Linked DNA regions of Struthio camelus. The protein of the gene in region 1 interacts with the protein of each later gene in a pairwise test. Links are inferred from orthologs where the notes say so. Each region holds a gene or a part of one and is shown on either strand. Other genes may lie near its edges.

The links.
Region 2: the proteins of TSEN54 (region 1) and CLP1 interact in binary tests that used the Homo sapiens proteins (3 or more experiments, as listed by UniProt). The link is inferred for Struthio camelus from reciprocal best matches to the Homo sapiens genes TSEN54 and CLP1.
Region 3: the proteins of TSEN54 (region 1) and TSEN2 interact in a two-hybrid assay, tested with the Homo sapiens proteins (2 studies listed by BioGRID and IntAct). The two-hybrid records come from large-scale screens. The link is inferred for Struthio camelus from reciprocal best matches to the Homo sapiens genes TSEN54 and TSEN2.

The regions. Positions count from the first base shown.
Region 1 is NC_090960.1:8,480,379-8,487,479, forward strand, and holds the start of TSEN54 (tRNA-splicing endonuclease subunit Sen54), read left to right. Parts: upstream 1-4,026; 5' UTR 4,027-4,082; coding exon 4,083-4,111; intron 4,112-4,369; coding exon 4,370-4,528; intron 4,529-5,813; coding exon 5,814-5,877; intron 5,878-6,020; coding exon 6,021-6,104; intron 6,105-7,101.
Region 2 is NC_090946.1:7,501,647-7,509,322, reverse strand, and holds the start of CLP1 (polyribonucleotide 5'-hydroxyl-kinase Clp1), read left to right. Parts: upstream 1-4,635; 5' UTR 4,636-4,794; intron 4,795-5,226; 5' UTR 5,227-5,237; coding exon 5,238-5,843; intron 5,844-7,016; coding exon 7,017-7,676. Other genes in the region: SERPING1 (plasma protease C1 inhibitor), read left to right, coding at 1-155, 930-1,072, 1,550-1,769, 2,802-3,052. UniProt on the Homo sapiens protein: Polynucleotide kinase that can phosphorylate the 5'-hydroxyl groups of double-stranded RNA (dsRNA), single-stranded RNA (ssRNA), double-stranded DNA (dsDNA) and double-stranded DNA:RNA hybrids. dsRNA is phosphorylated more efficiently than dsDNA, and the RNA component of a DNA:RNA hybrid is phosphorylated more efficiently than the DNA component.
Region 3 is NC_090955.1:20,025,491-20,033,507, reverse strand, and holds the start of TSEN2 (tRNA-splicing endonuclease subunit Sen2), read left to right. Parts: upstream 1-5,008; 5' UTR 5,009-5,117; intron 5,118-5,142; exon of another isoform or gene 5,143-5,159; intron 5,160-5,217; exon of another isoform or gene 5,218-5,399; intron 5,400-6,015; exon of another isoform or gene 6,016-6,040; 5' UTR 6,041-6,056; coding exon 6,057-6,230; intron 6,231-7,040; coding exon 7,041-7,122; intron 7,123-7,860; coding exon 7,861-7,897; intron 7,898-8,017.

The DNA.
Region 1 (7,101 bases):
TATTTAAGGTCTGTCAAATTCTGTTTAAAGTGATTGCCAAGCCTTCCCTTCATATATCCTACTATAAGCAGTTTAAAAATGTCTCTACAACCTAGGAGTTAAATATGTTTCTTTATATGTTTCTAAATATGTTTCTTGAGATACTTTCCCGCTTGCTGAGAAACATATTTAAAGTATAGTAGTTAGACAGTTGTATGCTGAGCTACTGCTAACCCATGACAACTGAGTTGTTGCACAGAGATGTGAACATAGAGTTAAGCGATTGTGGTAACACCATATGTAATCTCAACTCACGTAAGAATTCAAGCAGTAGCCTGCTCACAGAGCTCAAAACATCCATTTCTGTCCCAGATTACACAGAGCATTTGAGCCCAAAATCTTGTGGTACAAGGACGCGCTTCACAGGTTGCAACAAAGTTGAAGCTGACAGAGCACGTTACCCATCTCAGACACCCTGTTTTCCAAACATCACCATCTATCAGAGTATAGATAAAGTCTGAACCACAAACAGCTGAGGCACAGCTGGTTTCTGCAGAGTTACTAAGATATTTCCAAACACTGTCTCAGGTGTTGTAGGGTTTGTTAAACAAAGGGATTAAAGGAGGCAGCTGTACCTGGCAGTGCAGCTTAGCTTGAGTATACAGCAGGCAGCTTGCAATTCCCACCTGGGTCTGCCTTGCACATTACACAAAACCAGAAAGCAATCTCAAGTCCACGCTTCACACTATTTTCTCCTAAAATACTATTTGCCTATTTACACAAAGTTCCTCCAAGAGTTAACTGCAAAGGACCTGTGATTACAAGGACTGCACAAACATAACTTGGATATAGTGTGTGTGGGGGGGGGGAAGCTGGAAAGGGATCATGAGTCAAAACCTGCTGGCCCCAGAGTGCCTCTGCTCCAGCTTGCACAGAGCACCCAGGCTGCTCTCACTAGATGGCAACACGAGACCTAGCAACTAGCTGCTGCTCAGAGGTGTCCATCTCACACCTTCAGCCCTAATAGCCCTTTTACAATTTATAGTTTCAAAATTAAAAACAACAAACACAAAACAACTACAGTTTACCTTTTCTGCGAGCACGTCGGGCCAACCCATGCTCCTGGAAGATCTCACGGCACTGGCACATTCAGCGTTTCATCTCTCCAGATGAATTGGAGAAGCTTTCCCATGGGGCGAGGAGCACCCCTGGGGGAGCAGCCCCGGTGCCAGCTCCCCCAGCCCCTCGCTGGCTGGGCACCAGGGTGGTGAGCTGGGGCTCTGGTGCCACAGGCCTGAGCTCTCTCTCCCTGGCCTCACGCCTAGCTACGTTGCAGCCCAAAAGCCTCACCAGAGCAACCCCTCACTTAGAGTCCTCTTTTTTTCACCACGCAATTGCCTCCTCACGGCAGCCAAACTCTTTCACCCACCATTTTTAGCTCAAAGGAGAACATTTTAAACTCTTCCATCTTTTCACAACACTGCCACAGAGAGGCTTGAAATGCTGTAAAAGCCCCATCCAGCACAGGCCATTAGCCATTTTTACACTTTTCTGCCATGCACAGCTTCTCCACAGAGGATTCACTAAGGTCCCAAGTAAGGTAAGGAGGAAAAAAAAAAAATCCCCCACTCAAGGAAAAGAGCTGCACCACAGTCCTAGTTTTGAGGTAGCTATAATAAACACCTCCCATCAGAAATTCAAACTTGGAAACAGAAAAATATCTTGCTAGAGGTAGGGAGAGGAAAAAAAACACCCTCTCCTTCCTTCCCTCTCTCCCTCCCATCTCACTCTTCATTTGTAAGGCACAAGAAGAAAGCACAGCCCCACCGGGCTCACCTGCACCCAGCTGCTGAGACTTGGCCAATTAGGGGTTGTTAAGAGGCTCCAGCTGGGGAGAGCAGGAGTCCCCTAGGGACAAGGCCGTGTTGGTGCCCCTGGGGGGAGGAACAAGACCTCCTGTGACAGCTACAAATCTTAGTATTGAGCAGAAACGTACACTGAAATTAATCTTGACATTTCTAGGTCTTGCAATCACAGCGAGTGACAAAAGCAAATTCTGGATCAGAGTATTTGCTGCAGCAATTTAAACGTTTCTATTTTAAGGGACGACTGAGTTAAACAAAGGGGTGACAGCCTGTAAGTTGAAAGCAACAGTATGTGGTGTTCTAGGATTATGTTAAAATCAAGCAGGCAGAATGTCCTCCAAAATACATATTTTTAGTAAATCAAGGAGGGAAAGTGCTGCAGCTTTCCACAATCTCTGTGTTCAGTCACTGGCTTCGCTCCTTTAGGTTGAAATGACTAAACCACGGCTCCTGGGGGGTTGGTGGGCTGCGGCCTGGTGGGGGCTGGCCCTGGGAGGTGGCACCCAGAGCCCTCGCTTGGTGGGTGCTGCCACATGGGAAGCCCCCCTCGCCCATCCTAATGGGGCCAGGAGATGCCCTGGGGCCCTCTGCTGAGCTGTGTGCCCCCTGCCGCAAGCCCTCCTCCCCCATGACCTGCCCCCAGGTACTGGGGACTAGCAACAACGAGCAAAATAACTTCACCGTCCTGCAGGAGGTGTAAGGGTCAGTTCATTGAGGGGGAAATAATAAGGTAGGAAGTGAAAATTAAGCCATTCAGCGGAAAATATAGAGGAACGGTTTTTGCATTCATTCCCCTATGCTGGCATTTTGTCCAAGTACTATTATGGAGAAACTGCAGGGGGAACCAAGGACTTTGGTGGGGAATTTTCTTACTTGAGGGTAACTGACTCTTGCGAGCTATCCCACAGCAACCAGACGCAGGCTTGAGGTGAAACTTGAACCTTTGGTGAGCCTCCCTGCCAGGTTAGTTCATGCACTCCCTCAGTAGCAAATACAGCTTCGTCAGCCAGGTTTCTAGTTTTACAGCCTGGCTGCACGCTCAGCGAAACCGTGCTGCAAGGACACCCCGCTGGCCTCCGTTTACGGCCAAATCAGAAGAAACAGTGACACCTGCCGAAGAGAGAAACCACTTTCCCATGGCACCAGAGCCTGTTCTCAGGGGGCTGGAGCACAAAAAGTGCCCAAATTTGCCCCGGTTCAGGTGTGAACCAGGCACAGCTGCAGCTGGTGGCTCTGAAACAGTCAGCGAAAGAGCTCAGCAAATCTTGCTGTTGGCAGCTTTAAAATAAATCCACAAGCAAGGCTTGTGATTTCAGCAGTTTGGCACGGTTTCAGTTTTATCGGCCTTTGCCCCCTTTGCTTGAATCTTCATTATTAAGTACAAGACGTCAGCCCATCTGTGTGCAGGCGTGCTGAGGTACGGCCAGGTTATACGTGGGGCTAGCTGATTACTTCTGAATCAACATCCTCTCTGTAGGTTGTCAAAAAGCCCTTGACGCGTTATTTTCTGAGCAAGCTTGGCGCTGTACAGAGGCCGGCTTCCTTAAATTACATTTCCAGTCTGGCTGGCACACCTGACTGCAAGCGAGTGCTAAAACCCCAGGAATTAAAATCACCGCTGGCCACGCGAACATTGCTGCCAAAATCCTGGCGCTGAATCCGTACGCTCCGAGAGGGCACGGACTGAATTTGGGTGATGGGCAAGGCCCTCCGAGCGCCTTGGTTAAGGGCCAGCAGCAGCAGGCCTTGACACTCCCCTGCTCGGCCTCTTGGGGCCTGTTTCTTCCCTGCACGCAGGGTCCAGCGCCACTGCACTGAGGAGGACCCGACGAGCCACGAGCGGGCAGCGCAGCAGCACCGACGTCTATGGGAAACGGCGGGCAGCAGCGAGCCAACTTCCCGGTGTCCGGGGCAGTTTTCTTCAGGATAACGACGGTGCTCGCATATTTCACAAGCCACATTTTGTGAGGCCGGTGCGTGGCTCCAGCGCACGGCTCCGCGCCCCTCAGGACCCCCCTCAGGTGCCCAGAGCCAGACCCTGAGGCGGCGCCGCGCCGCTCCCAGCCGCTCCCAACCGGTCCCAGCCGGTCCGGGCCGCTCCGAGCCTGCCGCGCCGCGCAGTCCCCCAGCCCCGCAGGGGGCGCGCTAACCCTCGCGCCGCACCCCCCCCCCCCGCCCGCCCGGCGCTAGGACCCTGCGGAGCCGCGGCGGAAGCGGCTGCCCGCGGCGCGCGCGTCCATGGAGCCGGGCGGCTCGCGCCGCCTCAGGTACGAGGGGCCGCGAGGGCGGGACGGGCCTGAAAGGGGCGGTGCGCGCGCCTCCGCCCCCGGGGCCCTGACGGGGCGGGTGGGGGGTCCCGGGCGGGGGGAGGCGGCCGAGGCGGCGGCGGCGGCGGCGGGGGGGAGCGCACCGCAGCGCTCTGGGGCGGGTGGCTCTGCCCGGGCCCGGCCTGCAGGGAGGGCGCCGTCGGGGCGGGGGGTGAGGGGCGTTCGGCGGCCTGACGGCGCCCCCTCTGCCGCCCGCAGCACGGCGGAGCTGCTGGCCGCCCGCGCCCGCAAGGCCCCGCAGCGCTCGCACGGCCAGAAGGACTTCGCCCCCGACGGCTCCGAGGAGCAGGCGGAGAAGCTGCGCCGGTGCCGGGAGGAGCAATGGCAGCTGCTCTGCGAGGAGCGCGTCGAGCGGCTGTGAGTGTCTCCGGCGGCGGCGGCGGCGGAGCCCGGCGGCGGGGCTGAGGCGCGGAGCCAGTGCCTGCCCCGGCTGCTTTGCCGTTGGGCGTGGATCGCCCCGTTATTAACGGAGCTGGCTTAGTTCACGAGGACGGAGCTGATAACTGTGAACGCAGGGAACTCCCTCACGCCCTCGCTCGTAGCTCCCTAGCCGGAGCAGCAGCCGCCCCGGCTGTGCCCTCCGGGCAGAGGGTTACGCTGGTACGCCAGTGGCTTCCAGGGAGGCGTTCAGAAAGCTCCTCCAAGGGTCCCTAGTTTTCTCAGGCGCGTACGTAGTCCTTCAGTCCAGGTCTGCATGTGGCAGCTGCTGCCCGCAGATGCAGTTCAAGTTGTACAGCCCCTTGTTGATGCTCGTGTGTGTCTGTGGCCTTGTACGGATTTGGTTGACTCCCGGTGTCCCGGGTTTATCAGCTCTGGTAGATCCCACAGCACTACCAGTCTCTGAAGTTCAGTTATCAGTTCCTGGGAGACTTTCACACGCTCTCAGCACACGCTTTTCCTCTCTTTGGCCTGCTTTTTTTCTGGTAACTAGTTTCTCCATCCACACCAGTCAGTAGTTGCTAAAAAGCATTCAGGCAAACTCACACTGCAGGGACCTTTAGGATGTTGCTTTGAGAAAGGGGACCTCCAGCAGACAGGCAGGACAGACGGGGTGCACTGTTACCTTCCTTCCGCTGTGGTCAGAAGCAGATTTGTTTAAGTACGTGTGTAACTGCACGTTTGCGGCTGTGCTGGAAATTGTGGTACTGACCAAGGATTCAGAGCAAACCCATGGCAGGCCCCACAGGTCTCATCTCCTGCTTCCTTGATCCAGCCACCAAAAATGTGCGTCTTCAAAGTCACCCTGTGTTTCCTCTCTGCTAGTAAATTCTCCCTACAAGGCCGTGCACTTTGCTTTGTGGGTGGGATACAGCAATTTGAGACTCTGTCCTGGCAGCATCTGAACAATCTTGTATGATATACTATGGATCAGTTGGGGCCCCACGTCTCCAGCAGGCCTCTGTGTCTGTGGGCAGACATTTGTGGTGCTAGTTTTAAGACACTGTTAACCAGTTGGTGATAAAATCCTTAATGAATACTGCTAAATCCAGAGGATGAGGTCTTTCTGAGGCCTTGCTCTGTAAAAGTGCCAGCTGGAAGTCTGCTGCCTTTCGACACCTTCCTGCACTTGTTGCGTTGCTACCACAGGAGATGGTTGTGTTACATCTGCTGGTAATAACAAGCTAATCTTTAACCTTCTCAGGGGCAATCTGGTGAAAGCTGAGTGGAAGCCAGGACAGGGTATCGTGGAGCTGCAGTCCCCTGCGGTGAGTCTGCTGCAGAATGTCCTCAATACCTTCATCTCCAGCTGGCGATTGCAGACTCCTTCATCTGCTTCTTAAATGGGAGAGAGCCTGGCTGTCAGCAAAGAATGTCCACAGCCCATCACAGATTTGTGCTTTTGTTCCAGGGGAAGTTCTGGCACACCATGGGGTTCACAGAGCATGGCAAACAGTGCCTGCTGCCCGAGGAAGCTCTCTATCTGCTGGAGTGTGTAAGTAGGATGCCCGTGCGTGGATGGGGGCCCTGGGTTCTTCCTGAATAACTGAAGGAACTCTGGTAGCTGGACACTTTTAGAGTGAAGTCTGGAATCACTTGACAGATGTTGGTCACTCCTGCAGTTTGAGTAGCTGATAAACACCTGGTTCTCCTGGGACTGTCTCTTTTAGCCCGGTAGTTGATGGAGCTGTTTGCAGGCCATGGAGTATGTAGTACTCTAAAATGCTCTTTGTGTCCTTGACACTGGATGTCAGTTGGATCTGTGGCCAGGTTATCCAGCTGGTATCAAGTTGAACCCACTCCTATGTCAACATGACAACAGAATCTAGGAAGGTGTTTGGATGATCGGAATTTTTGTTACAATAACAGTGGTAAGTCAGCACTTTTATCAGAAGGAAGGAAGCGTAAGGAACGTACTTACCAAGTTTCCTGCTGAGATTTCTCTTCTTGCCTAGTGAGGGTGATAAAACACAGGTATTTATATATCAGTTACTACTTTACCCAAATCTGTGTATCAGGGCTTGGATTTCCACAATCTAGGAAGACTCAGTGTTCTGGGAATTTCTGGAAACCAGGTCACACCAGTATCTTACCGTCTCTTGCAGGGGTAAATTGGAAAAGATTTGACAATGAGAAATCTTTTTCCTCAGATATGGTATACTGGTAATGAGGACATAGGAGACTGGTCAGTGCCTGCTCTGTCATAAGTTGATTTCCTCCCTTATCCAACATATTTTACGTATTCTGCAGTAACAAGGTTCACAAGTTCGACAGCAGTCTGTTTTTCTGTACTTCTCTAAGAAGCTGACAAGAATTAGTAAAGCTAATGTGGCTGAGAGGGGAATGAGACCAAGTTGCTCTTCAGCGCTCCCCTGCTTGGAGAAATGTCTCTGGTAATTTGACAATAGATCATAAACAAACGATCATAAACAATAGATCATAAACAAATTGACTTGAAAATAAAATTGTTTAGTTAGTTGCTGAGTGCAGAA
Region 2 (7,676 bases), on another chromosome or scaffold:
GGCCCGGCCCTGGGTGCTGAGCGGCAACGAGAGCCTCGACCTGCTGCGCATCAACAAGTGGGTGCGCGATGCCACCCAGGGGCGCCTGCCGCGCCTCCTCGACGAGCTGCCCCCCGACCCCCAGCTGGTGCTGCTCAGCGCTGTCTACTTCCAGGGTACGGCCTGGCCTGCCACTCCCGGGACCTGCCCTGGGACCTGCCCCGGGACCTGCCCCGGGACCTGCCCTGGGAACCTCCTCTGGGATCTACCCTGGGACCTGCTCTGGGGATCAGCCTTGGGATCTGCCCTGGGAACCTCCTCTGGGACCTGCCCTGGGACCTGCTCTGGGGCTTGGTCTTGGATCTGCCCTGGGACCTCCTCCGGGAGTCTGCTCTGGGACCTGCCCTGGGATCTGCCCTGGGACCTCCTCTGGGAGTCTGCTCTGGGACCTGCCCTGGGACCTGCCCTGGGACCTGCTCTGGGGCTTGGTCTTGGATCTGCCCTGGGACCTCCTCCGGGAGTCTCCTCTGGGACCTGCCCTGGGACCTGTCCTGGGACCTGCTCTGGGGATTGGCCTTGGGATCTGCCCTGGGATCTGCCCTGGGGATCTACTTTGTGACCTGCTCTGGTACCTGCCTTGGGATCTGCCCTGGGACCTGCTCTGGGAATCTGCTCTGGGACCTGCTCTGGGGCTTAGCCTTGGGATCTGCCCTGGGGACCTTCCCTGGAACCTCCTCTGGGAATCTGCTCTGGGACCTGCCCTGGGACCTGCTCCGGGGCTTGGCTCTGCCATTGGCCCTGGCATCCACCCTAGAGCCTGGCCTTGGGCGAGCTGCGGCCCGTGCGCGGCAAGTGTCCTCGGTGGCGCGGAGGTCCAACAAGGAGCCCCCCGCCCTGGGAGCCCCCCGCGGGCGCCCCCGCAGCCTCCCGTGGCCGCCCTGTCCCCACAGGCAAGTGGCAGACGCCGTTCCAGGTCAAGGACACCATGCCGCAGCCCTTCCTGCGCCCAGGGCGCCCGTCCGTTCTCGTCCCCACCATGACCAGCAAGAAGTACCCCGTGACCTCCTTCATCGAGCCCAGCCTGCGGGCCCAGGTATGGCCTCGCCTCCCGCAGGGCCTGCAGCAGCCATGCTGGGCCGTGACCTCATTTCCTGCAGAACCAAGCAGCGGCCATGCTAGGTTATGACCTCATTTCCTAAGGAGCCAAGCAGGGGCCATTCTGGGTTGTGACCTCACTTCTTGTGGAGTATAGCAGCAGCCATGCTGGGTCATGACCTCACTTCCCATAGAGCCCAGCAGCAGCAGCCATGCTGGGTCATGACCTCACTTCCCATAGAGCCCAGCAGCAGCAGCCATGCTGGGTCATGACCTCACTTCCTGTGGAGCCAACTAGCAGCCATGCTGGGTCATGACCTCACTTCCCATAGAGCCAACTAGCAGCCATGCTGGGTCATGACTTGGCTGCCTGTAGCAGCCCGCGGGGCAGGCAGCGGCCACGGCCGGCCGCCCCCTTGCAGAGCACCGCACTGCTGCTGGGGGACGCCAGCGCTGACGTCCATCCCTCCCGCAGGTGGGGCGGCTCCAGCTGAGCCAGGGCCTGAGCCTGGTGCTGCTGCTGCCGCAGGGCGCCCTGGGGGCGCTGGAGGCGCTGGAGCGGGCGCTCAGCCCCGCCGCCTTCCTCGCCCTCCTGCACAAGGCGGCCGCCATCCCGCCCCGGGCCACCGTGCTGGCCCTGCCCCGCTTCCGCCTCGACCTCTCCCAGGACGTCATGGCCATCGTCCATGAGATGGGTGAGTATGACCCCCCCCAACCTGCGAGGGGTCATTATTTTCTGGGGGGGGGAGGCATGACATCACTTCCCGTGCAGGAATTAGCCCGGCATGACATCACACCCTGTGCAGGAAGTGATGCCCCCTCCAGGAGGGGGCTGGCACCTCCCAGGCCCTTGACCCTGCATGGCCCCGTGCAGCTGCCCCCTCCCCTGTCCCTGGGGCCCCCCTTGTCCTCATCCCCCCTTGGTGCTCCTTGGTGGCCCACAGAGACCCTCCGTGTCCCAGGGTTCCTTGGTGCCCACAGCGTCCCCCCCAAGCCCTCCTGTCCCTTGATGTCCCCTAGTGCCCACGATGCCCCCCCGACTCTTCTATCTCTTGATGTCCTCCAGTGCCCATGGTGTCCCTCACCACCCTGATGCCCCCAATGTTCCCCCCTCCCCAACTCTTCTATCTCTTGATGTCCTCCAGTGCCCATGGTGTCTCTCAGCACCCTGGTGCCCCCAATGTCCCCCCTCGACTCTTCTATCTCTTGATGTCCTCCAGTGCCCATGGTGTCTCTCAGCACCCTGGTGCCCCCAATGTCCCCCCTCGACTCTTCTATCTCTTGATGTCCTCCAGTGCCCATGGTGTCCCTCAGCACCCTGGTGCCCCCAATGTTCCCCCCCCGACTCTTCTATCTCTTGATGTCTTCCAGTGCCCATGGTGTGCCCTCAGTATTCCTGGTGGCCCAATGTCCCCCAGCACCCCAGTGTCCACTGATGTCCCCCAGGGCCCACAACGTCCCAGGTTTCCCTTGCTGTCCCCCAGCAACCTGGTGTCCTCAGTGCTCCCAGTATCCCTGGTTTCCCCAGTGCCTCCTGGCATCTTGGTGTGTCCCCAGCATCCCCGGTGTCCCCGGGTGCCCCATGTGTCCCCCCCCCCCCGGTGTCCCCAGTGCCCCCGGAGTCCCCAGGTTCCCCAGTATCCTCCTGCGCTCCCCGGTGTCCCTGTGCCCCTGGGTCCCCCGGGGTCCCCCCGCCGCGCGGCGCCGCCTGACGCCCGTCCCCGCAGACTACGGGCTGTTCCTGGACGCGGAGCTGTGCGGGCTGGCGCGGGGGCAGGCGGTGGCGGTGGACACGGCGCGGCACCGGGCCGTGCTGGCGCTGGACGAGGCCGGCGTGGAGGCGGCGGCCGCCGTGGCCACCTCGCTGGCCCGCACCGCCCACGTCCTCGAGGCCCTGCGGCCCTTCCTCTTCGTGCTGTGGGACGACGCGCGCCGGCTCCCCCTCTTCATGGGCCGCCTCAGCGACCCCCGGCCCTGACGCCCGTCCCCCCCACCGGCACCCGGTTCCTCCGGCGCCCGTGGCCGGCCCTCCTGCCCGCCGCTTCCCTGCCTCCTTCCTCCCTCCCGCCCTCCTCCTCTGCCTCCTTCCTACCCTCCTCCTCCTCTCCCTCCTCTTTACCTTCCTCCCTCCCTCCTCCTCTGCCTCCTTCCCTCCCTTCCTCCTCCCTTCCTCCTCCTCTGCCCCTTCCCTCCCTCCCTCCTCCTCTGCCCCCTTCCCTCCCTGCCTCCCTCCTTCCTCCCTCCCTCCTCCTCTGCCTCCTTCCTACCCTCTTTCTTCCCCTCCCTCCTTTCCTTCCCTCCCTCCTTACTCCATTCCCACCTCCCCACCGCCTTCCTTCCCTCCCCCCTTCCCACCCTCCTCCTTCCTTCTCTCCCTTTCTTCCTCCTTCCCTCCCTCCTTCCCACCTGCCTCCTTCCCCTTCTCTCTCCCTTTCTTCCTACCTCCTCCCCTCCCTCCTCCCCTTCCTCCTCTCCCTCCTTCTTTCCCTCCTTCCTCCCTCCTTCCCACCCTCCTCCTCCTCCCCTCCCTCCTCCCCTTCCCACCCTCCTCCTCCCCTTCCTCCCTCCCTCCCCCCCCAGGGCCTCCATTTCCCTGCCCAGCCCCAATAAAGGCGCAGAGCCCCGGGGGCCACGCACGCCTGGCGCTTTCCTAGAAAAAAAGCCTTTATTCCTGGTACAAGGGTGGGCCGGGGTGGGCCGGGGTGGGGGGTGACGCCGCCGGGTCCTCACTCCCAGCCCTTCTCCTTCACCATGTGGGACGGGGAGAGGCGCCATGAGCGCCGGTGGGACAGCTTTTCGGGGAGCTGGTGGGCTCGGGGGGTGGGGTGGGGGGGCGGCACTCATCACGGATTTCCAGCCCAGGGTGGTCTTGCAGCAACAACAACAAAAAAAGGGGCGGGGGTCAAACGGGGAGCACCGTGCCCAGCACCCATCGCCCTCCTGCATCCCCCCCCCCGGCTGTTACCCCCCTACCCTGCTGCCGCCACCAGCTGAGACCGGCCCAGCTCATCACAGCAGTGGGTGTGTGGGTTGGGGGGGGGGAGGTGAAAGCGGACGGCCTCCCGGGGCCCCGTGCTCACCGTCTCGTCCCGGCGGCGGGGGGGGAGGGGTCGGAATCACGGTCCCCCTGACGTCACCGCCCGCGCTATGACGTCACCCCGTGCCATGACGTCACCGCGCGCCCGATGGCCCCGCGGCGCTGGCGGGACCCCACGCCCCGGCCGCACGCAAATCAAATGCAGATGAGACCCGGGGCAGGGAAGGGAGGGCGGCATGCAAATGGCATGCAAATGAGATGCAGATGAGCCCGGCGCCTTTCCCACGGGGCCGCGGGCACGTTCTAAGGAGATGCAAATGGCATGCCAAAGAACGCGTGACGCACGGCGCGCGCGGGGAGGGGGAGGTCCCAAGCCTGACATGCAAATATATGCAAATGAGCCGGGAGCGCGATCGGCCCCCGCGGGGCAGCGCCCTGGACTACGTCTCCCAGGGGGCGCCGCGCGCCGCCGCGCCTGCGCGCTGGGGGGGAAGGGGGCCGCGCGGCCGCCGAGGGGGACGCGTCACCCAGGAGGCGCCGCGCGCGGGTGCCCTGGCAACGCCCCCTCCGACTTGCCCCCTCATGGGTCCGGCGCGGGGTCGCCCGCGTGACCTCACTTCCGGCGCGGCCTAGAGACGCCCCCCCGCGGGGGCCGGAAGTGCGCCGGCTCCGCGAGCGCCCCGGTAAGAGGGTGGGGGGGGAGGCGCCGGGCCGGCCACGGGGGTGCCCCCCCCCCCGCGCCTGGGGCAGGGCGAGACCCCCGAGCCGGGCCGGGGTTGGGGCGGGGACCCCCTGGAGCGGGCCGGGGGAAGCCTGGGGGCCCCCTGGAGCGGGCCGGGGACTCGCAAGGCGAGTCGGGGCCCCCTAAGTGGACTGGGGTCCCCTGGAGCAGGCTGGAGACCCGCGAGTCGGGCAGGGGCCCCCTAAATGGGCCGAGGACCCCCCCCCGGAGCGGGCCAGGGATTCCCAAATCCGGCTGGAGGAGGGTCGGGGACGCTGAGGTGGTGCGGGCAGAGCTGGGGCTGGGTGGGGGGAAGGAGCAGGGGCAGCTCCCCCAGCAGGGCTGGGGAAGGAGCTGCCGTGCCCCGCCGCTGACAGCCTGCGCTGCCCCGCAGAGGGCCAAGCGATGGCGGACGATGGCGGCGACGAGAAGAAGCAGGTGGCCAAGTTCGAGCTGGAGCGGGAGACGGAGTTGCGGTTCGAGGTGGAGGCCTCGCAGACGGTGCAGCTGGAGCTGCTCACCGGCATGGCAGAGGTCTTCGGCACCGAGCTCACCCGCAACAAGAAGTTCACCTTCGACGCCGGCGCCAAGGTGGCCGTCTTCACCTGGCACGGCTGCACCGTGCAGCTCAGCGGGCGCACCGAGGTGGCCTACGTCTCCAAGGACACCCCCATGCTGCTCTACCTCAACACCCACACGGCCCTGGAGCAGATGCGCCGGCAGGCGGAGCGCGAGGACGAGCGGGGGCCCCGCGTCATGGTGGTGGGCCCCACGGACGTGGGCAAGTCGACCGTGTGCCGCCTGCTGCTGAACTACGCCGTGCGCCTGGGGCGCCGGCCCACCTTTGTGGAGCTGGACGTGGGCCAGGGCTCCGTCTCCATCCCCGGCACCATGGGGGCCCTCTACATTGAGCGCCCTGCCGACGTGGAGGAGGGCTTCTCCCTGCAGGCCCCGCTGGTTTATCACTTCGGCTCCACCACGCCTGGCACCAACATCAAGCTGTACAATAAGGTGAGTATGGGGGGGGGGCCCGGGGGGGGGTCTGGGAACGGTGCAGCCCTGCGGTAGGGCCCGGGCACGGGGCTGCACCGCTTTTGGAGGCTTTTGCAGGTTAAACCCTGAGCAACCTGATCTGGCTTGGTAGTCAGCCCTGTTTGGGGCAGGGCTAGGGCTAGGGCTAGAGCTCCCTTCCGCCTTACTTATTCTGGGAGACTCTGATCTGTTTTGCTGCTACGTAAAACCATGGTGCGCTTCAGTGTCGTGCCTGCTTCCGGGCGCTCCTGCTCAAGAAAGACGTTGTGAAGTTTGAGAAGGTGCAGAGAGGCGTAACTGTATCAAGGGGATGGAGTAGCTGTGTTAGGAGAGACTAAGAAGGCCGCAGCCTTTCAGTCCAGAGAGGAGAGGGCTGAGGGAGTCTGACGGGTTTACAAAATCGTACAGCTGCTAGGTGAGCCAAACGGGGAACTGTTAGTCACCGCAGCTTGCAACAGAGGAAATACGGGACGTCCGATGAAACCAGCTGGAAATTGGTTTAGAGCAAATAAAAACAAGCTCTTCTGTACACAGCTGTCACAGCAGGCTGCGGAGGCAGACAGAATCGGCGGGGTCAAGAGGGACTTAATGCATTCGTGGACAGCAGGCCCATAAATAGATGTGAAAAAGGGTGGGCAGAGATGTACTTTCTACCATCCCTACAGCTGCATGGGGAGCTGGGTAGAAATGGACTGCAGAAGGTGACCAGGCTCACATGTCCTCCTTTAAAAAAAAAAAAAAAAAGTGTCTGTCATTGCCAATGTCTCTTGCTGTTTGGGGATAGAAGCTTCTCAGTTGCTCCCCTGAGCCTTTTACCCAGTCAGGACCAATGTGGTCCTACTCACGTGCTGTGGCTTTGAGGATCTCAAAGGAGGCGGCAAGCGTAAGCACAGCAGGGGAGATATCTGGGATGCTGAAATACTGTGGTAGCCCAGCTGGGGAAAGCGTGGAGGGGTCAGAGTGCAGAGCAGCAACGGATCCCGTCTCCTCCCTGTTCCTCCTCTGCCAGAGAAGGTGTTGCCATCTTGTCTGCTCCGGGGCTCCTAATGGCAGCAGCCCTGAGAAGGGGGTACAGGTGGAAGGGGGATTCAGCTCCTGGCGTGCCCGAAGAGATCTCTCTGTCCTAATATTTCTGCCCTTTCTTCCTCACAGATCACATCCCGCCTGGCAGACGTCTTCAACCAGCGGTGTGAAGTGAACCGCCGAGCGTCGGTAAGCGGCTGCGTCATCAACACGTGCGGCTGGGTGAAGGGCTCGGGGTACCAGGCGCTGGTGCACGCCGCCTCTGCCTTCGAGGTGGACGTGGTGGTGGTGCTGGACCAAGAGCGGCTCTACAACGAGCTGAAGAGGGACCTGCCCCACTTTGTGCGCACGGTGCTGCTCCCCAAATCCGGTGGGGTGGTGGAGCGCTCCAAGGACTTCCGGCGGGAGTGCCGAGACGACCGCATCAGGGAGTATTTCTACGGCTTCCGGGGTTGCTTCTACCCCCACGCCTTTGACGTCAAGTTCTCTGACGTCAAGATCTACAAGGTGGGGGCTCCCACCATCCCGGACTCCTGCCTCCCCCTGGGCATGTCGCAGGAGGACAACCAGCTCAAGCTGGTGCCGGTGACGCCGGGGCGGGACATGGTGCACCACCTGCTGAGCGTCAGCATGGCCGACAGCCCCGACGACAACATCTCGGAGACGAGCGTGGCCGGCTTCATCGTGGTCACCGGCGTGGACCTGGAGCGCCAGGTCTTCACCGTGCTGTCGCCTGCCCCTCGCCCGCTGCCCAAGAACTTCCTCCTCATCATGGACATTCGCTTCATG
Region 3 (8,017 bases), on another chromosome or scaffold:
AGGATAAAAAACGACACTACCTGCACTGCAATGACTGCACAGAGCCCTCAAGCCATACACTAATGTTATGGGATGTCAGCTGGATCAAATGTCTCTGTAAGAATTCCTCATCGAAGTGTGTTTAAACTCCACGAATACAAAAGCATTTTCCATGCCTGAAGTAAGTATTTTTAATGTTCTCTTTTCTCATGCTATTCACTTTATTGCGGTCCACCTCGGGATTTCTGACATTATGGGATTTCTTACTGAGTTGATGCTTGGCCAATATTTGTCCAACGTCTCTTTTTTTGTCTCCTGTGAAAACCATCTGAAACTAAGCAGAAACTAACCTTGATTTATTTCTTTAATAAACAAAATGAAGATACCATATATTAATAAAAATGAAAAGTATTCCCTAGCTGTTTTTTTTCAAGTTTCCGAAAACAGTCCCATATCTCTGTCAAAGTTAATGCAACCAGAATTTCCATGGGAATTTCTGTCAGTCTGGGGAAACTGGAACTGGCTAATGTAAATAACTTCAGCCCATCCTCCAACTACTGTTCAAATCACCTTGTGAGAAAGGAATGGGCTTTATTTTAAAGAAAGTGTCATAACATTTCTCTTGTGGACTACAAGAAGCACGGCTTAAGAAAACTTTACAGAAACATTCTGTGGAAACCACAGAAAGAAATGAACCTAACGACAAATCCTGACTTCAATTCCATGGGATTTTATGCAAAACTTTTATTTCTTTTGTATGAAATCCAAAATTAACTAAAGACACTACTAGAATAGGTTATTTGTTTATAACCTTATGACTAACTTCCTTGAGAAGATACAAGAAAATGCTACATAGGCAAATAGTTTTACAGGCTTGCATTTCTGTTTCTTTTAATAAGGATAAGAACGTAAAATATGTACTTAAAGAGTACCTGGCCTGTATGTTTTGGCTCAGAGAGAACTGGGAATTAACCTCCCAAGTCCTTATAGAAGTCACCAAACATCCAGAAAACAACCACTTTTGATAACCAAACTCCTTAGCACTTGCCTGCATATGACAACTTAATTTTACTATCGGTGAGGTACAAGTGCCTGGGACTTCTTATTCATCAGATTGTTCCAAACCGCCAAGCTAAATGAAGTGATGAAAGGTAGACTCTTTGCAGCATAAAAAATACATAATATTAGCTGCTAAATATTAGTTAATATTAAATATTGGTTAATACAACATTAAATGAGCTCTCACTGTATTAACAGAACGTATTTCTTCTGTATGATTCCAGATGAACTTTGATATGACTGTTATTGGGGAAGGACACCATAAACTGCAGAAAGGCTGAGGGTACCTGACTGCAAACACTAAACCATGCAGATTAGGAAAGATCTTACTACATACATGGTCACAGAAAGAGTTTAATAAGCATGATATTGACAGCATGTCCTTCCACTGTAACTATTTTTCAGTTGTACTCCTCAACCACTGACTGTTGAGAGGTGGTTGAAGAAATTCTACGACCACATAGAGCAGGAGATAGCAACTTCTTCCACGAAACAAATATTGTTAGTACAAAGGGACTACTGTGTATGAACTGGCATGAGCGTCCCCAAAATGGGACAATTTTGTAGGAAATTCTGAGTATTACAATGTGAATAACAAGACATCGGGAGTCAGACAATGTACAACTGAAAATGACACAGGAAAGGCAATTGTATTAAAGTTTAAGGCAACGTATTTCTAGAACTGAAGGGTTACAAATGGTTTTTCTCATCATGGTTTGGAGAAAGGGTCATATCAGCCTTTTCAGAAGCCTGATATTGGTTTGGACCTTAATTCAAGAGAATAATTCAGATCAACAGAATAACTGAGTATGAGGAAATGGTAAGCAATAGAGTACTCTTTGCATTAGAAGCAATGATAAGCAACACACAAAAATGAAATAGTGTATTCTCAAAGACATTCAGAAATTGAAAGACTGTTAAATGGAAATCCAAAAGATGATTTAACAAAAGCTGGAGGCTTTCAGCCTCTCTAGAGCAGTATAGTTTTGTATTTTCTGCTGAACTGCAGAGAAATCAAATAAGCTCCTGGAATGAGGAATCCTGAAGACTCCCATAAAAGGGATCTTAAGACCTTTTAGGGCAGTCTCTTGTCTCAAGGCTGGATCAACTTTATCTGAACTGTTCTTGGAAGATGTTTGCCCAACTTGCTCTTAAAAATTTCCAATAAGGGGCCTAACACAACCTTTCTAGGTAAAGCCAGTTCTGATCTATCTTCATAGGTACAAAGTTGTTTCTTGTCTAACTTCAATCTCTCTTGTTGCCATTTAACCTCCTTGTTCCTACTATTATTTTGTAGTGGTCACGCAGAACAATGCATTTTGTCCCTCTTTGCAACGGTCTATTTTATCACTTCTACCTTTTCTAGCCTGAAAAAGTAGAGTTCTAGCCTGAGTTAGTTCAGTCTTTCCTCATAGATCACCCCTGTCACTCTTCTTGATTCTTTCCAATTGCTCTACATTTATCTTGAACTGTTCTTATAACTGGACCTATTACTTCAGTTGAGGTCCTCTCAGTGATGCACAGAACTGATGAATTGCTTCATATATCTTACACATGGCACTCCTGTATATAAGTTCTAGCATGATACCTTTTTTCAATTTGTTGACTCGGTCCCAATTTGTGATTCACTATAATCTTAAGGGTTTGTTTTTCAGAGCAATTGCCTGGTCATCTAGCTGCTGTTTAGCCTTTTGCTGTCTCACTATAAAAGGGAAATCCAGATATTTGTGAAAATGTCTGTACAACTATTGATACATTCAAAAAAAAAATACTGCCATGACTCAAAGAGAATTTGACCTTCAGATAGCAAAATTTCTGGTTGAAGAACAATCTGGGCTTATAATCAGAAAACAAATGGGAGCAGCTATGTAGTCTGCATATTTGTTTGAAGAAATATGAGTGTGATTCAATTAATTGACTGAATGGGGAATGCTGCGGTTTCCATCTCAAGGCTGTATGAAGATAATGAGATGTGGAGGAAGGCAACTGACCTATAGCTTTTTTATGTTGTGTCTACCTCTCATTGTAATGTACATCTCATTGCAGTATGTCTGCACAGCAAGAAAATATAGACATATCTATCCTAGATAAATTCTACTTTCATTTAAAGCAACTTGATTTGGCAAATCTACATGGAATTTTGAAATGAAGTGGCATATTTGATATTTGCTTATTTTCATGTTGTTACCTAGAATGCTTTAACTCACAGCTATTTTAATAGCAGAGCTCTAAGAATGAACCTGAAGTTATCAGAGCATTAATGTATACTTTGGGGACAAGAATGGAACAGGGTCCCTGTGGTTTAGCCTCAACACCTGGTAAATGAACTAACGTTCAAAACAAATTAACACTCACCAGACGGTACATGAAGTAGACCTCTGTAGGAAATAACTGTAAGAATACCAGCTTAGTATTCCCATGTTTTGCTGCTGATTTCCTTTGTGACATTGTAATCGTTACATCTCCCCCTGAGCCTCACAATTCTGTCTGTAAAACAGAAATAACAGAAACTCACTACCTCATAAGGGTGACGTAGTCTTACCATTTTTCATAGGTGAATTCACTGATCTATTGATAACCAGCCAATATAAAAATGAGACTAATGAAATCTCATCTACTAGGACTACATTTAATAATCAGAGATAATATGCTTGTTTCACACAGAAAATGTAGAAGTTTGAACTTTACGTTCACTGTGTTCCCAGATGTTTCTATTTCATGTTGAAACAAAAGTGTGAGAAATCTGTATGATAAATTCCATTTCTAAATGAGAAAAATAAACCTGTACTTTGAACTCAGATGACCTGGACACTGGTAACAACCAAAGCTTTGCAACTTCTCTGCACAGCCCAGATTTTTTGATTACTCCAGAAATGTGATGTGATTTTTGCATGAGTTCATTTTTCACCTGAGAGCCTAGCATCAAGTGAGAACGGAAAGGAGGCCTTCTGAGATTAAAATACACCGGAGAGCATATAGCCTGCTAAAGTAAAGGGAAATTATCCATAATGATAATAAATTATTGAGCTAGTCGATCCTCCTGGAACTAAAATTTCTTCATCCTCTTTTTTTAGTGGACCCTCACAATATAACCTCAAAATAAGAAAAAGATTTCTCAGTCGTAGTTGCATTTGTCATTATGATTTTGATTAACAAGGCCTAAACCGGCAACAGCTCACTGTTTATCACAACAGAAAAAGGGATGTCTGCTCTCACTTACTAGTGAGAATGCTTTTCATCTTATTCAGGTAAGATGCTTTTTTTTTTTTCTTTAATTATACTACCTTTTTGCCCTGAATTCAACTCTGGTAATAAGCTGCACAATCACAATCTCTGTTAAAGTTGTGTAAGTAGTATTGCATTATCCTAAGTAGTCACGAGTCACTGCAATGTCAAGGGTTTGTTACTCAGCCAAAAACAATTGCTTCAAGCTGAAAATGGTATCTTCCCCTCACCTCCCACGGCTGTAAAATTTCACCCACCCAGGTATCTCAAATGTCCCTCACTATGCAGCTCATCATTCGTTCCAGAATGGGTGTTCCATTCAAAAACGTCATTTCCTCTTCCTTTTATTGTTTTTAAATTGCCAGCACAGGACGGTTTGCGGGCTGCAGCCGTTACCGCAGTATCAAGGCTGGCAGCAGCTACAAACCCAGAGCTGTGGGGCAGAGGAGCCTGGGAACGCCCCCGCAGGGCCCAGGCCTTCCCTTTCTCACAGGGAACCTACTTCTGAGTCTCTCACGGGAGGTCTCTGCGCCAGGCCGGGGGCCCTGCGGGCCCTGAGGAACACCTCCCGCCCCCACGGCCGCGCGCCTCGGGGCAGAGGCCCGCAGCCCCCTCACAGCGCCGAGCCGCGCCGAAGCCGAACAGCGCGGCCGCCCCGCTCCCAGCCGGCCCCGCCGGCGCCTCCGCGCGACGAACACGCACCCAAAACCGCCTCCCACCGGCCAACCGCCGCCGCAACGGCCGCAGAGGGGGCGGGGCCGGGGCCGGGGGGCGGGCTCGGGCCCGGGCTCCGTGCGCACGCGCGGCCTGCCGGCGCCCGCCAGCCCGCGGCTCTCCTCGTGCGGCGGCGGCGGGTGCGTGCGTGCGGCAGGCGGTCACCGTGGCGACGGGCGTGCGTGCGTGCGGCGGCGGGCGGGCGCTATGGCGACGGGCGGGCGGAGGCGCGGCGGCCGCGGGGTCGGATCGGGCCGGGCCGGGTCGTGCCAGGCCGCGGGGCCCGCTCCCTGCCCGGCTGCCGAGCACCGCGCCCCGGGCGGGCCGCGCCGCGCGCTGCGTGGGCGGGTCGGTGTGGCTGTGGTTATCGGCTGACCTCCCGGCCCCGGGTGAGGGCGGCTCCCCCCGCCCCGAGCGGGCCGGTAAGGGTGGCGCTCACCACCGCGCGGTGCTCTCCTCGTGCCGTTTTGCGGCGTGCAGACGTAAAAAGGCGGCCCCGGCGGGTGCGCGTGTCACGGTGGCCTTTACCTGCCGCCCGGCTTGTCGGAAAGCCTCCTGCCGTGTCCCGTTCCCCTCTCTAGAGGGTTTGCCTCTTTAAAGAAGAAAAGCTTGCCCAGTCGCTGCTTTTTTTTTTCCAAATTCGTTCATGTAATTATTCAAAGCAGTTTTATGTTTAGGCGCTTGTGTGCTGTGGTTTCTGTTTATTCTCCTTGTTCTGCTGTTCACCTATGCTTTATTCCTGAAAACGCTTTCAGCTGCCTCTGTGTGCACCTGCCTTCGATCTTAAGTTCCCTCCTTGCCGAGGACTCTCCATACCTGCTCTTTAGAAGACCCTGCAATGCCAAAGAAAAGCAGAGTAGCGCATAACACTGTAGGAAGTTGTTCTGTTATGTTTGTCTGGCATAATAGTTCCAGAATTAAACTTGGATTATACTGTAGGCTTGTTGCTAATTTGCTGTTGAGGAGGAGATGTTGTTGAAACACGTAAAAGTGGGTGAACTGTAATTCTTGAACACTACATATGTTTTGTTTCTTTAGAAGAATAAATTTTTCTCCTCTTTAGAAGAAAATATTAGGAAATGGCAGAAGCTGTTTTCCAACCCCCAAGAAGGAAAAGAAGAACTTTTGAGTCATATGAATCTCCCTTTCCTGTGGATGTAGATGGCAAGGATTTCAGAATATACCAGGCTGAAATTATTAACAACAATGTTGTTGTGAGGAACCCTGAAGATATTGAACAGCTGTATAGCAAGGTGGTGTACCCTATTTGCACAATGTTTCTAGTGTTCTGCTCCATGTATGTTAAAAATACTCATTAAAATCGGCCTCCCTCTCTGCTTTCCTTCCCCTTTAGCCTCTAGTAATCCTCCATATCTCCTTCCTCTTCTGAAATAAATACCAAACATATATTCTGTATCAAATATGGAAAGTGTTTCATTTTTAGCCCAGTAAATATGTTTTGGAATGAAGTGGCATCATGATCTAAAAAACAGATGCAAAGACTTAATGTCTCTTATGTTTATTTATCCTGCTCATATTTTATACAACCTTGCAAAAGCATTTTCATGTTATTCAAGGTCAGGAGGTTGTAATATCAGTGTTTTAAATGTACTTATATAATTCTTTTAACTTCAGTGTGGTGTCTTGAGTAAAATAAGCTACATTAAGCCTTTACATCTAGGTACGTTTAATTACCTGTTGCCATTCTTATGCAATAACTTTATCCATACCTGTTTCCTATTACACATTGTCACAGTATTAATGCGCAGGTAGGGTGTTTTTTTTGGGGGGAGGGGGAGGGTGTTTTGCTTGGAGATTTAATCTTAAAGATATTTAGAATTGGGGGAAAAGACCTAAAGTCCTCCACTGGCTAAATATTTGAGTAGAAGTGTTTAATACTGGACTAGTTATCAGAAGCTAAGCAACAAGCTTTAGACCAAGTTTAGATGCTGCATGATTTCATTCTGTTTCAGTAAATCATGGTAGAAAAGGTTTGATCATTTGGAAAGACGTTTGTTTTTTTTATCTGATGATATAATAAAGATTTTTGTTTTCCTTTGAAGGGCTATTTTGGTAAAGGTATTCTTTCAAGAAGTCGACCAATGTACAGCGTTTCAGATCCTTTACTGATTACGAAGTGGCAAGGTAAATTGTACCCGTTTCTACTTTCCTCATTGTTCTAATAGTATTTTTTTTTATTTCTCCTTGTTTATTGAAGATGCAAAAATAATTTCTATACTGGGTCAAACCAAGGTTGTGTCTGTCCCCTTACCTTGTGTCTGATGATGGCCAGTACAAGATGCCTAGGTTTAAAAAAAAAAAAAAAAAAAAACAGGAAAGCAGAACTGATAACTCCTTAGTACATTCTCCATCCTACACTGATTTGCTGTTTGGGACCTTTGTAAGTCAAGGTAGCATCTTTGGACTTTTTTCCCAATAACTATCCATTTTTTTCTTGTTTCTGATCAGCAGTTTTTAGTGTCCTCAAAACTGTGCGGCAAGGGTATGTGAAATTTTGAATCTGCTAGTAAGTAATTACCTGTGATGTGCTCTTGTTCATGTATAGAAAGACTATCATTCCTTATCCATCTTCTCAATGACACTTTTAAGTCACCATAGACATGAATGGATTTTTACCATATCCTCCTGCAATTGTCTTTTTACAGGCTGGAAAAAAGTAGTGTATTTAGCTGTTCCTCTTCTGGAAGCTCTTTCATCTTTGTTACCTCTGTAGTTTTTCTAGTTCTGCTGTGTTCACGAGAATAGAAACGAAACCAAAATTGCATACAGTGTTGAAGATATGAATGCTTATTATGCCACAGAATATATCAATAGTTTTAAAAAGTTATATTAATGAAACAATATATGATTTTTTTTTTATAGGTACTAACATAAACCTGCCTATCATTGCATCAAAAAAGTAAGTTCATCTACATTTTTCTTTTTTTTTTTTTTTTTTTCCTTTGGAAGCATATGATTCTATTTTCTGTTTTATCAGACTGGTTTTCAGTGTTGGCTATACAGATGTGGATGACTTACT